Oryctolagus cuniculus: one gene and its partners. The protein of the gene in region 1 interacts with the protein of each later gene in a biochemical or structural test. Links are inferred from orthologs where the notes say so. Each region holds a gene or a part of one and is shown in the gene's direction. Other genes may lie near its edges.

Region 1 (3,565 bases):
GCGTCGCAAGCATGACTGTGGTGCACACAGGGACAGACCTGATTGTAGCTGTGCATGTGTGTACGCGTGTGTGTGTGTATGTGTGCGCGAGTGCACCAGCTGGCACCCTGTGGGTGACACGTGGACACTGTCGCACGTGCTTCCAGAGCCCACCTGCACATGGCTCTCCAGGCCCCCACAGATGTGACCAGCAGTGTGAGCAAGTGCACATGTGGACACACACACACACACACGAACATGTGTGCCCTCACTTGCCTGTGTGTGCTCTGGGCGGGTGCCCTTTGGCTGGGTCATGTGCTGTGTGGGTGCTGAGTTGCCTTGCCCGCCCTGCCCTGGCCCCTGTCCCCACCCTCTGCCCGGGACTGCACGGCTGTGTGTGTCCCTAGCGCGCCTAGCTTCCCCAGAGAAGCCGCGGCCGATGCCCATGGACACGAGCGTGTATGAGAGCCCCTACAGCGACCCTGAGGAGCTCAAGGACAAGAAGCTCTTCCTGAAGCGTGAGAACCTCCTTGTGGCTGACATTGAACTTGGCTGCGGCAACTTTGGCTCCGTGCGCCAGGGCGTCTACCGCATGCGCAAGTATGGCCGCCCCTGCAGCTGTGGGGGGGGCAGTGGGGGGGACAGTGGGTGCTGGGATGTCTGTCTGTCTCAGAGACAGACTCTCGGACAGGACACTGCTTGTTGGAGGCCTCCCCGAGACAGATTGGAGGCACTTGGGGAGCGGCAGATGGAGGTCTGGGCCAGGGAAGGGTTGGGCTGAGCTGCACAGCCCCTGCCTCCCCTGGCCCCTGCCTCTGCTGCTGCTGGTGGGATCCAGGTCACCCTGGGGAGGTTGTCACTGGCAGGGGTGGTTTTCAGTGAGGGCCCTGGCTATGAGTTGTCTTCTTGACCACTGGAGGAGTGAATGCCTTGGCCTCAGTCGGGGCGGTGAGCATCATGCGCGCAGGGGAGAAGAGAGGTGGGTGCGTGGGAACAGGGCTGGCTCAGCCCTGTGTGTCCTGCCTGGCTGTGCATCGTGGCAGGAAGCAGATCGATGTGGCCATCAAGGTGCTGAAGCACAGCACGGAGAAGGCGGACAAGGACGAGATGATGCGTGAGGCGCAGATCATGCACCAGCTGGACAACCCCTACATCGTGCGGCTCATCGGCGTGTGCCAGGCAGAGGCCCTCATGCTGGTCATGGAGATGGCAGGCGGAGGGCCCCTGCACAAGTTCCTGCTGGGGAAGAAGTGAGTTCCCCCCGGGGCAGGCCTGTGGGTCGGGGCTGTGGGCGAGGGTGTGTGGGGCTCATCCCGTGCAGCCCTGGGTGGGACGGCACTCACACTGCTGCTAGGGCTGTGCACACACCACACGCAGGTTCACACTTCGGGGACACCCACATGTGTCCACAAGGGGGAGCTGCCAGCTCCCTGTTCCCCCATTTGTATCACTGCAGCGATAACAGTACCTAACATCGGGACCTGACCAGCATCAACACTGCTAGGGAGGACTGCACCAGTGGCACCCAGCCTCTCGGGCCGGCTTCCTCACTGCTGGGAAAGTGCAGGGGTGGGGGTCTCTCACCTGGAGCAGCCTGCAGCCTGCAGCCTGCAGCTTGGTCTTGTGCTATAGGTTTTTTTTTTTTTGATTTATTTATTTGAGAGGCAGAGTTAGAGACAGAAGGAGAGACAGACAGAGAGGTCTTCCATCCATTGGTTCATTCCCCAAATGCCTGCAAAGGCCAGAGCTGGGCCAATCCGAAGCCCAGAGCCAGGAGCTCCTTCTGGGTCTCCCACACGGGTGCAGGGGCCCAGCAGAGAGCTGGATCGGAAGTGGAGCAGCCAGAACCCACAGGTGGAGGCTTTGCTATGATGCCACAGCGCCAGCTCCTATAGTTCATTTCTTAGAGGTTAAACACAAGAATACGGAAGAGAGCCCATAGATGGCATCTATAGGTGAAAATATTCACTCTCTGTCCCTTCACTGAAAGGCTGTAGCCTTTTCTTAGTGCCGCCTGGGGCTCCGGACTCCTGCCCTCATGGCCAGGCATCTCTGTGCTCCCTGGGGGACGCTGTGCCGCTCCACGCTCTCTGAAGTGCTCCACGCTCTCTGTGGCGCACCTGCCTTCATGGTGCGCCCTGCTCACAATCAGTCCTGGAGCGGGTATCTGTCGGGCAGTTGCTCTGTGGCAGGAGTAACTGGTGCCGACACCTGGGATCATCAGCAAATACAAGAGCAAAGATGCGTGCCCTGTTCCCTGGTTGGAGAAGTGAAGCAGTAAACAATCATGATAAAACAGAGCGGGGCACTGGAGAGAAGGGAGTAGGGCAGGCCAGGGGCACGGGCGTGCCGGGGTGGGAGCCCCAGGGAGAATGGGAGGTTTGGGCAGACTGGGGGGGGGCAGCTAAGCACAGATCCATGGGAGAACATTCCAAGCAGAGGGTACCACCTGTGCAAAGGCCCTGGGGTGGGCTCCAGTTCCCACTGTTGTGGGAACAGTGGAGACAGAGTGTGGGCAGGGAGATGATGCAAAGCCTTGTGGGCTACCAGGGGGACTTGGACTTTTGCCCTGAGTAAGGGGGGAGCTCTGGGAGGGGCAGGATCTGATGCAGCTGGGGACTGGACAAGATTGTGCGAGGCCTGGGCAGAGCTGACAGTTCTAGTCCAGGCGGTGCTGATGAGGGGCTGGTTAGGCTGTTGGAAGCAGTGGGAAGATTCCGGAGCACTTCTGACCACAGAGCTGCGGGGCTTGCTGTGAGTGAAAGGTGATGGAGGGCAGAGCGCCTGGGGAAGATGGGACGTGGCTGGGGGGGGCTCAGCCTTGGCTGCATTTGAGGAGCCTGAGGGACAAGCTTGGGGGGGTCACAGCATAGGGTGACACTTCAGCCTGGAGCCTTCTTCGCACTGTGACCCCAGCCCCAGGCCTGGCACACAGCTGGTGCTCCTCTGGCCTCTGATCTGATAGTCTGAGACGGGTGGGCTTGGTCCCAGGGGGCACTTGGGCTGTCTTCTCCCAGCTGCCCCCCCCGGCCCCACCCCAGGGAGGAGATCCCCGTGAGCAACGTGGCCGAGCTGCTGCACCAGGTGTCCATGGGGATGAAGTACCTGGAAGAGAAGAACTTTGTGCACCGTGACCTGGCGGCCCGCAACGTCCTGCTGGTCAACCGGCACTACGCCAAGATCAGCGACTTTGGTCTCTCCAAGGCACTGGGTGCCGACGACAGCTACTACACGGTGCGCCCCTGCCCTGCGATGCCCAGGCAGAGGCGGGTCGGGGGGCTGGAGGGTCCCTGAGCTCTGCCCAGCAGCATCTTCCCCTCCCCAGGCCCGCTCAGCAGGGAAGTGGCCGCTCAAGTGGTACGCGCCCGAGTGCATCAACTTCCGTAAGTTCTCTAGCCGCAGCGACGTCTGGAGCTACGGAGTCACCATGTGGGAGGCCTTCTCCTACGGCCAGAAGCCCTACAAGGCAGGCGTGGGCAGCGGCGGGCAGCAGGTGGCGGGCGGGGGAGGAGGCCTGGCCACGCACGCTGACCCCCGGCCCTGGCTCCGCAGAAGATGAAGGGCCCCGAGGTCTTGGACTTCATCA
Region 2 (2,366 bases), on another chromosome or scaffold:
TCACCCCCCATGACAGGTGAGCACGGTGGGGTGTGGGCCAGCTGTTGGGCCCCAGACCCAGATTGGGAATGCAGGTCTACTCTTCCCACGCCAGAGCTCGGGGAGGTTCAGGGAAAGAAATAACCTGTGTGCCCTGCTTCCTACTTCCTGCGATTCTTGGGTTTCCGGTGGCCATTAGGCCGCCTGCTGCAGGGCCAGCTCTTCCTCTCGCTTGCCTGTGGTGGGGCTGTATTTCAGGGCCTCCAAACTGCATTTCTTTCTCTGGCTGAATGAGCTTTTCTCTTCCCAGCCGCCACCTCATTACTAGCCTCGCCCTCTTTCTTGCCTATTTCTCTTTCATTTTCTGTGTTTTCCTATTTCTAGAAGCCACCAGGCTCGTGGATCTTGGAGGAAGGCTGTTTGTCCTGAGACCCCTTCCTTTCCCACTGTAGGCTTTAAGGAATGAGCAGTGGGCCAGTAGGGATGGTGTATTTGGAAGTTCAAGTCCTCCGGCACATGCCCTCCCCACTATTTCGTGCTTCCCCTTCCTCTCAGGAAATAGCCTGGTGGTCAAGGGCATGAGCTGTAAAGTCAAAGCTGAGTTTAAATCTTGCCTATAGCACCTTTTAGTTGGGAGATCTTGGATAAATCTTTTCACCTCTCACCTTAATTTTCCTCCTCTATAAAACTAGGGAGGGAAACCAGGAGGGTGAAATGACTGTACCTGGGAAACACCCAGCCTCAGGCCTGCGGACTGAAGGCTCGCTGTGTGTGTGATGTGCTGTGGGGTTCCCCTCGCCCTGCCCGGCTCTCCTGCGTACTCACACTCCTGTGCCTTCCTGTCCCTCCCAGAATGGCCGGCTTTGATGGATCAGCTTGGGATGAGGAGGAGGAAGAGCTACCCGACCATCAGTACTATAATGACTTCCCGGGGAAGGAACCCCCTTTGGGGGGCGTGGTGGACATGAGGCTCCGGGAAGGAGCTGCCCCAGGGACTGTTCGACCTGCTCCACCCAGTGCGCAGACCCCCAGCCACTTGGGAGCTACCCTGGTAAGTTGCTAGGATGGAGGTGGGCTGGGCCCAGGCTGGTTAGGACTGCTGGTCTCACCTTCCTTTATCCCTGCAGCCCGTAGGGCAGCCTGTGGGAGGAGACCCGGAAGTCCGCAAACAGATGCCACCTCAACCACCTTGCCCGGGTATGAAGGGAGGCAGAGAGAGAGGGAGCGAGTGAGCTGAGGAGGGAAGAGCCGGGGGTGCAGCAGGCAGGGCCAGGAGCACCACGGAGCATCCTTTTCCGCAGCAGGCAGAGAGCTCTTTGATGATCCCTCCTACGTCAACGTCCAAAACCTAGACAAGGCCCGGCAGGCAGGGGGAGGGGCTGGGCCCCCCAACGCGACCGCCAATGGCAGCGCACCCCGGGACCTCTTTGACATGAGTGAGTACTCCTCTCTCCTTTCTGCTTCGTCCCCGCCTTCCCACCTGGTTCCGTCTCTTCTGCCTTTCTGCTCTTTCATTCCTGGCCTCCCTTCCCTGAAGGTCTCCGTCCCGGGAGTGTGTTGTGCCAGCTGCTGCTCCTTGCTCTCTCTGTAACCCCCCAGAGCCCTTTGAAGATGCGCTTCGGGTACCTGCACCTCCCCAGTCGGTGTCCATGGCTGAGCAGCTCCAAAGGGAGCCCTGGTTCCATGGGAAGCTGAGCCGGCGGGAGGCTGAGGCGCTGCTGCAGCTCAACGGGGACTTCCTGGTGCGGGAGAGCACGACCACACCTGGCCAGTACGTGCTCACCGGCCTGCAGAGCGGGCAGCCCAAGCACCTGCTCCTGGTGGACCCCGAGGGTGTGGTGAGTGACAGAGGTGTGGACGTGGGTGGTCGGAAGTACCCTCTGGTGCAGTCGCAGCTGTCGGCCCCGCCCTCCAGCGCCCTCAGCGCTGTGCCTGAGCTGTGTTCATTACAGCCCTGGCCGGTACTCCAATCCCCAAACCTTAAGCCCCTCAGAGCCAGACGGTGCTCGTCTATTCTGTGTCCCTCCTTTGACAGATGAGGAAACCCCCGGGGAGAGGTTGTGATAGCCAGTGGTGAGGAGCCACACACGTGCAGGAGGAGCCGGGGGCCTCCCCAGGTCCCCAGACCAGTGTCCTTTCTCTTAACACTCAGTGTCTCACTGCTCCTCAAAACTTCCATTTCTCTTCTGTACAATTTCAGCCTCCTTCCCACTTTTTTTTTTTTTTTTTTTTTTTTGCACAGTGAGATACGCCAACCCTGTCCAAATCAAGAAAGGCTTCATGCTTTCTGGACTGAGGTCCCCTTGCCTTTCTGTAGTTCCTTCACCTGCCCACTCTCACAGCTGTCTCCAGCTTCTCTTTCCAGGGAAGCCTCAACCAGCCATCAC
Region 3 (3,565 bases), on another chromosome or scaffold:
CTGGAAGCCCAGAGCCTGCCTTATCTGCTACTTTAAAAACAGGGAAGGCTGCCTTCAGTAATCCTGGTCCAAAGTGCTCGGCCCTTCCCAGGTGAAGTAGCCATGTAGATGTGGTGCTTGTAAACGTTCCTATTCCCAGGCCCAAGGCCAGTCAAAGTCCCTGAGGGATTCTCACTCAGGTACAGTAATGTTTGGGGCCACGGCTTGCCCTGCCACTGTTGCACACAATTTGCTCAGGCTCTTGAGCCTATTTCCTCCTACACAAGATACAGAACCCACCCTGCAGTTCTCTGAGGATGAAGGTAATGTACACACAGTGTCCTACTCAAGGCCTGGACAAGAGAAGTACCGAGGACACATTTGCTGAGTGAACAAGTGGGTGACGGATGGCTAATGAAGAGAACATTCAGCTAATAGAATGTTCCAGTTTGTTACAGCTGTTCTAAACAGCCTTGGCAACCACAGTCAACACAACCAAAGCTTTCCTGTGAGAAGGAAATGTATTCTCATAAAGTTTCAGGGAACTGAAAACACAAAAGCAGCTTTAAAGGAGGTGAGATGGGAGACCTGGGTCACCCTGGTTGAACAGAAACTCTGCGGTGTCTTCTATGTGCTGGGCAGTGTTACCACTTAGGGAATTCAGTAAGGCACAGCAAGTGTGGCAGGCCTCGGATGCCCTCATCCCATAACAGAGTCCTGAGTTGGAGTGTCAGCTCTGCTTTGGAGTCCAGCTTTCTGTTAATGCATACCCCGGGAGGCAGCAGGTGATGACTCAAGGACTTGGGCCCCTGTCACCCAGGTGGGAGACTCGCACTGAGTTCCCAGCTTCTGCTTTGAGCTTGGCCTATCCCCAGCTGTTGTAGGCTTTTGGCAAATGTGCTTGGAAGATTCAATCTCTCTCTCTCTCTGCCTTTCAAATAAATACATTAAAAATTAAAAAAAAAAAAGAACAGCAGGCAGTGTTGGTCCTAAAAGCTAGCAATATTCTCAATTCATCTTGTCTTGGGTACCTTACATTTCCTTTATGAAACAACAAGAACATGAGTATTGTTATCACTGCAGTGTCACTGCCCCAGCTGTTGGGAATCCATTCTGGGCATGTGGATTTGCTGGAGTGTATAAAAGATCTGCTTCTGGAATATTCCTCTTGATGTGCGTGTGAAAATGGTGACTTTTCCATCAACGGATCTAGTCACTTTATATCATGTTTCACGCACATTTAGGAAGTCACTCAATTTGAGGTTTCACTCTCAAAGTTTTACTGGCATGTTTTATGAGCAGCCTTGTGGTTTTGAACAGGTGAACATTATTTTTGAAGCCCTGTTTTCTTGAAATGTTAATTAGTAGAACAGTTATAAAGGCGGGCATGTGCTCGTGCATGTGTGTGTGTGATGACAGCGGTAAACCATAACTTACAGTAAATTGACTTTCAAAATGTGTACTTTGAAGGCTCCAGCAACAGATCACCTCTCAGAGCTGAAGGCAGGAACTTGCCCATCCCAGTGCCAAGCAAACCCCAGCCACCATCCCCTGGGGAAGAGGAGGTATGAAGCACATGTTTTAACTTTTGTTTTTCCCCCTGGCAAATGGACCACCACAACCTCCCATTGAGTACTCTTCCATACTTTTATCATGGACTAGTTTTATGTTCTTTTCTTGACAAAAAACATTTTAAGGGGAGGATTCAGATAAAAAATATGTTCTTTTTCTTGGTATTCTAGCACACACCTCCGGGGCAGATGTGTGTTTTGCATTAAACAATGTAAGACATAATTATATTTTTCGTCTGTTTTCTAGCTTATGACCTTGAAAAAGTCACTTACCTGCTCATTAACAGTTTTTTTCATTAAATAGGTTATTACTGTATATTAAACTGAAGAAACTGTTGTACTTTTATCTTTCCTGATCAAAGGCTCCAGAACATAAGCAACACTTATTCACAACTACCTTTTCAACCCATATCATGATAGAAAGCAGTTCACACACAATGTCTTCTATTTAGCCCTACCTTTGTGATTCTGCATTCAAATTGAGCAAACAAATGTTTCAAACCTCATGGAACTGAGGTGGTGATTTATGGAAATTGTTACTTGGAAGCTTCGCTTTTCCCTTACATATGTAACTGCAAAATTTATTCAGTTTTAAAATTTATATTTTCAGAATTCATTAAATGAAGAGTGGTATGTTTCTTACATTACCCGACCGGAGGCAGAAGCTGCTCTGAGAAAGATAAACCAGGTATTGTGCTAGAGTTTATTTTTAAGTAGTTATAAATATTAATAGAAAGAGAAGGGAACTGACTTGTGTTGAGCACCAGTTATGGTCTAGGAATTCTGCCTGGCGCTCTTCCTATGAGACCCATTCGTGCTAGCTCATATCTACCAGCATCCGTAGGAAGATTCCTAGAACTGGGAACCATTTGGATAGCAGAAAAATCTCAATTAAGGCAATCATTTGGTTGGTAGAATCTTAGAAGATTGTATTAATGAAAAGTATTTGTCTTACTGGAGGAATCGTTTGTGTCAAAAGGGTACTCCCTTTCTCTCAAATTTCTAATATCTTATCAATTCTATCTTCCTCTTCATGTGGAGCTGCCAACTCTCAAGGCAAAAGGGCCCATACTGAAAGAGATAGCAACTTTTTGCCCTTTCTCCTAGAAATTTCTGCCTAGAATTTAATAATCTAATGTGTTAAACAGATTCCCTTGTGGCCCAGTGCTGGACCTTAAAATGAAGTCTATCAGAGAGGAAAAGGAAAGTGCCTTCATTTTTCACTTCTGACTTTCTACAACAGGGTGGTGTTTGGCCTAGCACCAAACAGGAGTACCCGGGTTTGATTCTTGGTCTGGCTCCTGATTCCAGCTTCCTGGTAATGCAGACCCTGCAAAGTAGTGGTGATGGCTCAAGGGATTGGATTTTTGCCACTGGATTGAATTCCTTGCTCCTGGCTTTGGCCTGACCCAGTACTGGCCATTGCTGGCATGGGTGGAGAGAAGCAGCAGATTGGGGGTAACCCCCCTCTCTCTCCCTCTTAAATAAAATATTTTTTAAATTAAATTCTAGAACATTCTTTCTCAGCCTTATCTGCATATTTGAATCACCTGAGCGTTTAAAAAAAAATCCTGATTCCTGGGTCTCAAGTGGAAAGGTCTTATTTTAATGAGTTGGGGGTACCGTGGGGGCTTCAGAATTCCCCAGGCGATTCTAATTCCAAGCTCTAGGCTGAGGCTGAGACATGCTTGTTGAGCAGAAACATTCCGACTGGCCTAATGAACCTGGAATGAGAAGAGCAGAAGGGCACTGCTGTGGGCGGATGGCTATTTACAGCCTCCACGACTTAGTACACAGCAGAGGAAGTGGTCTGAGTCCTCACCGACTGCTTTAATGTTAGATCTTTATAGGTTACTATTAGGTAGCAGTAATTCATAGAATGAAAACCGAAAGTACAGTCACAGCACTAGGAAATATCAGGGAAAAACAGTGGTGAGAGCGCAGATGGTCCACATTCATTTTTAGTCAGGTGGATGATGCACATGCAAGAATGTAAAGGAGATGAATTTCATAGG
Region 4 (4,345 bases), on another chromosome or scaffold:
CCTCCCTCCCCCCTCCCCCAGTACGTGGTGATCCCCACACGACGCTCCACCGCCGAAGCCTTCCAGATCGTGCTGTCCCACCTGCTGGGCGACGCTGGGAGCCCCTACCTCATCGGCCTGGTGAGCCTCACCCCGGGCTTGGGGGTCCTGTTCTCCCAGCACTGGCCGGTGGCCTACCTGGGCGGCTGCAGGCGCTGGGCACCCTATAGCCTCCCCTGGGTGGGGAGGGCTTTGTCTTGGCAGAGTCCCTGAGGGCCCACCCCTTTCCCATGGCTGTCCCGGCCGCCCCCGACGCTCCGCCCTGCCCCCCGCAGATCTCCGACCGCCTCCGCCGCAGCTGGCCGCCATCTTTCCTGTCCGAGTTCCGGGCCCTGCAGTTCTCGCTCATGCTCTGCGCCTTCGTCGGGGCGCTGGGCGGGGCCGCCTTCCTGGGCACCGCCATGTTCATCGAGGGTGACCGCCGGCGGGCGCAGCTGCACGTGCAGGGTCAGTGCGGGCCCCGCCCTGGCTCCCGGCCGCTGTCTCAGCGCTGGGGCTGGCGGCTCTGTGTCCTCCTCCTGGTGGTGGCTCTGCGGGTCTGCTCCAGCTGACCTTCCAGCCCTGGCTCTGACCCCGCCCCCCACAGGTCTGCTGGCCGAGGCAGGGCCCGCAGATGACCGCATCGTGGTGCCGCAGCGTGGCCGCTCCACCAGGGTCCCCGTGTCCAGTGTGCTCATCTGAGTGGCCGTCCCTCACCTGTCCGCACATCTGCCGCCGCGGGCCCTGGGGCCCGTCCCACGAGGTGCCCGGGCCTAAGCCCTCAGCCCGGCCCAGCTTCCAGGAGGGACCCTGGGCCCTGTCCAGCTCCCAGACACTACATGGGCAGCCTAGGGGAGGAGTTGGGGGTCTGGGGTGGGGAGGGGTGGGGTCCCCTCCACTGGAGCAGCCCCAGGGGGTTGGTGCTATTTGTAACCGAATAAACTTTGTAGCCAGACCCCAAGTGCCTACCTGAGTCTTTTGTCTGGATGCTGGTGACCCCTGACCTCTGGCTGGCCATCTCCAGCCCCAGGGCTCCTGGGGGCGGCGGGGGCGCTGCCGGGGGGCCACCGGGCCAGTCCCTGTGCTGTGGGGCTAAGCGCCCAGCAGTGAGGACCGCCGTGCCAGTGAGCTGGCTCCGTGTGACCCTGAGTCACGGCCGGGCTTACTGGAGCCCGCCCCCCCCTCCGCACACAACCCCTGGCCAGCCTGGGCGAGCTGGGGTGGGCGCTGCCCTCTGCCTGGCGGAATGCCTGCCGCCGACCCCGACCCCCGGTGGCTTGCCACAGGCCTTCACTCCCACGGAGGAGCTGCCCCTCGTCCCACGGGCAAGTGTCCCTTCGTGAGAACCCTGACGGGGAGGCCTCCCCCTCCCCACCGGCTGGGTGGGGGTGGGAAGGGGCGGTGCAGCGGGCTGGGAGCCCGATGATTTCCTGCCTTCACCCGGTGCTCACCACAGCTTCCTGCCGAGGACGGGCGCCGAGGCGAGGCGAGGCCAGGCGGGCGTCTGGCCCAGGGCAGGTACCGCTGGGGTGCAGGGACCCGTCTCACGCTTGCATGGCGTGGCTGGAGCCCTGGACCCCAGCCCGGGCCCTGGCCTGACCTAGGGGGCTAGGGTCCCCCAGAGCTTGCACAGAGCCCAGCCCCCACAGAGGGCTCCGCTGCCCCCTACCCCCCACCGCTGCGCCCTTCCCTGAGGACCTGGGCCAGGCTCTGCCCAGCAGATGGAGGTGAACGTCCTTGGACACTCGGCGCTGGGCCTCCTGCTGGGGCCGCTCCTGGCTGTGCTGCTAATGGCCCTGTGTGTGCGCTGCCGCCGGCTGTCAGGTGAGCAGGGGCTTGAGGGCGGGGGTGCACCTGCTGGAGTCGCTGTACAGTCCCCGGCCTCCCTCGCCTGCCTCCGCCTGCCACCGCCCCGAGCCCTGGCCCCTGCCTCACCAACCGCTCTCTTCCCCCAGACTCCTACAACAGTGCCTCTTCCTCGGATGGGTGAGTGGGTCCCCTCCGCCCCGTGCCTGTCCCCCGCAATTCCCCATGGAGGGCTGGGCTGGGGGTGGGGGGTCTTGCTCGGCTCCAGCCCCCACCTGTGTCTCTCTTGCCAGTTTGTATCCCAGGAGCATCTTGATCAAACCGCCCTGTGAGTAGTTGGAGGCGCCCCTGCCTCCGGGAGAGAGGCTCCCTCCGTTGGGTGTCCCCTCGTTCTAGGTTGCCCACATGGCCTTGGCTTGAGCTGGGATGGGGAGTGGGGGGCGGTCAGGGCACCAGGGCTTCGAGGAAGGCGGGAGATGCGGGTCGGAAGTCACTCTTCCCAGCTCAGCTCTGTGTCCTCAGATACCCCTGCCCCCTGGCCGGCTGTTACCTCCGTTCCACCCCTGAGCCAGCCAGACCTGCTCCCCATCCCGTGAGTAGCCCCCCAACTCCTTCGCCTCCAAATCTCTCTCTACTCCCTTGTTTTTCCAGTGCCCCCCGCCCCGCCCTGCTGTAACCCTCCTGGCATTGAGTGTGACCTCTGACCTTTGATTCCCAGGAGATCTCCGCAGCCCCCTGGGGATTCCCACCGGATGCCGTCTTCCCGGAGGGACTCTGGTGGCGGTAAGTGTGGCAGGGCACCCCCACTCTGCCGGGAAGGCAGGGGTGCCTCCAACTACTCACAGGGCGGTTTGATCAAACTCACAGGGATATACAAACTGGCAAGAGACACGGGTGGGGGCTGGAGCCGAGCCAGACCCCCCACCCCCAGCCCAGCCCTCCGTGGGGAATTGCGGGGGACAGGCACAGGGTGGAGGGGACCCACTCACCCATCCGAGGAAGCCCAACCCTGAGCTGACTCAGTTTCCCTCTTGCTCTCTCCTTGAAGCCCAGAGCGTGGCGAGCTACGAGAACGAGGGTGCGTTTGGGCTGCCGGGGGCGGCGGGGTTGGGGGGCCCAGCCGGGTGGGGAGGCGGGGGCCTGTCTCGGGCTGTGCTGAGCTCTCCCCACCCCGTGTCGTTGCCCGCAGAGCTGGCCTGTGAGGACGCGGATGAAGATGAGGATGAGGAGGACTCTCACAATGAGGGCTACCTGTGAGTGGCAAGGGGGCAGGTGGGCAGGTGGGTGCTGGGGCCCCGGGCGAGCTTCCTCACCCCCTCCCCCATTGGTTCACTCTCAGGGAGGTGCTTCCCGATGACAGCCCGGCCACCAGCGGCCCTGGCCCCTCCGCCCCTGCGCCCGGAAACCCTGGTCTCCGAGACAGTGCCTTCTCCAGTGAGTCAGGAGGTGCCGGGCCCCCCCCCCCCGCATGCTCCCCTGCCCTGTGAAGGTTTTAGCGACCCCGCTCCCCTGTGCTCCCTCTCCAGGGCTCCCCTGCTGCAGGTGCCGGACTTCTGCCCTGGCCTTGATTTCTCCTTTATTGTCTGGGAGATGTCCTTGCCTTTATTCGCAGCCCTTGTGCTGTATATATGTTTTCCCCTCCTATCCAGTTCTTTCTGGGTCTCTGCATGTTCCTTTTTTGTAGCCCCCTGTTCTTGTTTCATGGAGGCAATAGCATCTTGTACATTTCTGTTTTTTTTTTTTAACTAAAGATTAAAAAGAAATTTTGCAAAAATGTATTTTGAGAGGCAGTGGCTCAGATGCCGGCAACAGCCAAGGCTCAGCCTAACTGAAGCCTGGAACCTGGAACTCAGCCATGTGCGCGGCAGAAACCCAGCCGCTCGAGCCGTCCACGGCTGCCTCCCAGGGTACACCGCAGCAGGAAGCCGGAACTGGGAGTGGAGGGGGAGGGGCAGGGGGCTCCAGCCCAGGCTCTCTGAGCTGGGAATACAGGTTGTGGGCATCCCCCGCAGGGTCTTCACCGCTGTGCCCAGTGCCCACCGCCATCTGGTCGGTCTGAGGACCTGATGGTGTGTGTGTGTGTGTGTGTGTGCGCGCACACATGGCTGGGGGAGGGGGCGCCTTTTCCTCTGCTCCCCTTGGAGCTGCCTTTCTCCCTTCAGTTTGGTTTCACCCCGGGGCTTTTCTCGCCTGCTACGTGTGCTGGTCCCTGGCTCCCGCACCTGCAAGCTGCCGTCCCTCACCATCCCAAGTCCTGGGCTGCATCAGTTTGTCCCAGTGCTGCTTCCCATCCATCCATCCATCCATTCATTCACTTGTCACCCATTGTCCTGCAAATGCCTCCGTGGGGCTGAGGCCAGGCTGTGACAGCCACTGAGGCAAAGCACAGAGACTTCAGCGTCTCGTGCTGGCTGAGGGCTGCCACTTTATTTATTTGAGAGGCAGAGTTACAGAGAGAGAGAGAGAGACAGACAGACAGAGAGAGGTCTTCCATCCGCTGGTTCACTCCCCAGATGGCCGG

What was found.
Region 2: of the proteins of ZAP70 (region 1) and SHC1, one has a biochemical effect on the other in vitro, tested with the Homo sapiens proteins (2 studies listed by BioGRID, with this or other methods). The link is inferred for Oryctolagus cuniculus from reciprocal best matches to the Homo sapiens genes ZAP70 and SHC1.
Region 3: of the proteins of ZAP70 (region 1) and LCP2, one has a biochemical effect on the other in vitro, tested with the Homo sapiens proteins (2 studies listed by BioGRID). The link is inferred for Oryctolagus cuniculus from reciprocal best matches to the Homo sapiens genes ZAP70 and LCP2.
Region 4: of the proteins of ZAP70 (region 1) and LAT, one has a biochemical effect on the other in vitro, tested with the Homo sapiens proteins (2 studies listed by BioGRID). The link is inferred for Oryctolagus cuniculus from reciprocal best matches to the Homo sapiens genes ZAP70 and LAT.

Annotation. Positions count from the first base shown.
Region 1 is NC_091433.1:110,655,658-110,659,222, reverse strand, and holds part of ZAP70 (tyrosine-protein kinase ZAP-70), read left to right. Parts: intron 1-386; coding exon 387-579; intron 580-1,022; coding exon 1,023-1,229; intron 1,230-3,020; coding exon 3,021-3,213; intron 3,214-3,304; coding exon 3,305-3,445; intron 3,446-3,531; coding exon 3,532-3,565. UniProt on the Homo sapiens protein: Tyrosine kinase that plays an essential role in regulation of the adaptive immune response. Regulates motility, adhesion and cytokine expression of mature T-cells, as well as thymocyte development.
Region 2 is NC_091438.1:43,543,351-43,545,716, forward strand, and holds part of SHC1 (SHC-transforming protein 1), read left to right. Parts: coding exon 1-16; intron 17-831; coding exon 832-1,030; intron 1,031-1,106; coding exon 1,107-1,176; intron 1,177-1,280; coding exon 1,281-1,415; intron 1,416-1,578; coding exon 1,579-1,817; intron 1,818-2,366. UniProt on the Homo sapiens protein: Signaling adapter that couples activated growth factor receptors to signaling pathways. Participates in a signaling cascade initiated by activated KIT and KITLG/SCF.
Region 3 is NC_091437.1:57,138,686-57,142,250, reverse strand, and holds part of LCP2 (lymphocyte cytosolic protein 2), read left to right. Parts: intron 1-1,449; coding exon 1,450-1,544; intron 1,545-2,160; coding exon 2,161-2,238; intron 2,239-3,565. UniProt on the Homo sapiens protein: Adapter protein primarily involved in signaling pathways within T-cells, as well as other immune cells such as platelets, mast cells, and natural killer (NK) cells.
Region 4 is NC_091450.1:7,782,749-7,787,093, forward strand, and holds the start of LAT (linker for activation of T-cells family member 1), read left to right. Parts: upstream 1-1,488; 5' UTR 1,489-1,739; coding exon 1,740-1,842; intron 1,843-1,973; coding exon 1,974-2,004; intron 2,005-2,117; coding exon 2,118-2,152; intron 2,153-2,346; coding exon 2,347-2,416; intron 2,417-2,542; coding exon 2,543-2,607; intron 2,608-2,872; coding exon 2,873-3,077; intron 3,078-3,163; coding exon 3,164-3,258; coding exon of another isoform or gene 3,259-3,270; intron 3,271-4,345. Other genes in the region: SPNS1 (protein spinster homolog 1), read left to right, coding at 22-120, 315-486, 626-720. UniProt on the Homo sapiens protein: Required for TCR (T-cell antigen receptor)- and pre-TCR-mediated signaling, both in mature T-cells and during their development.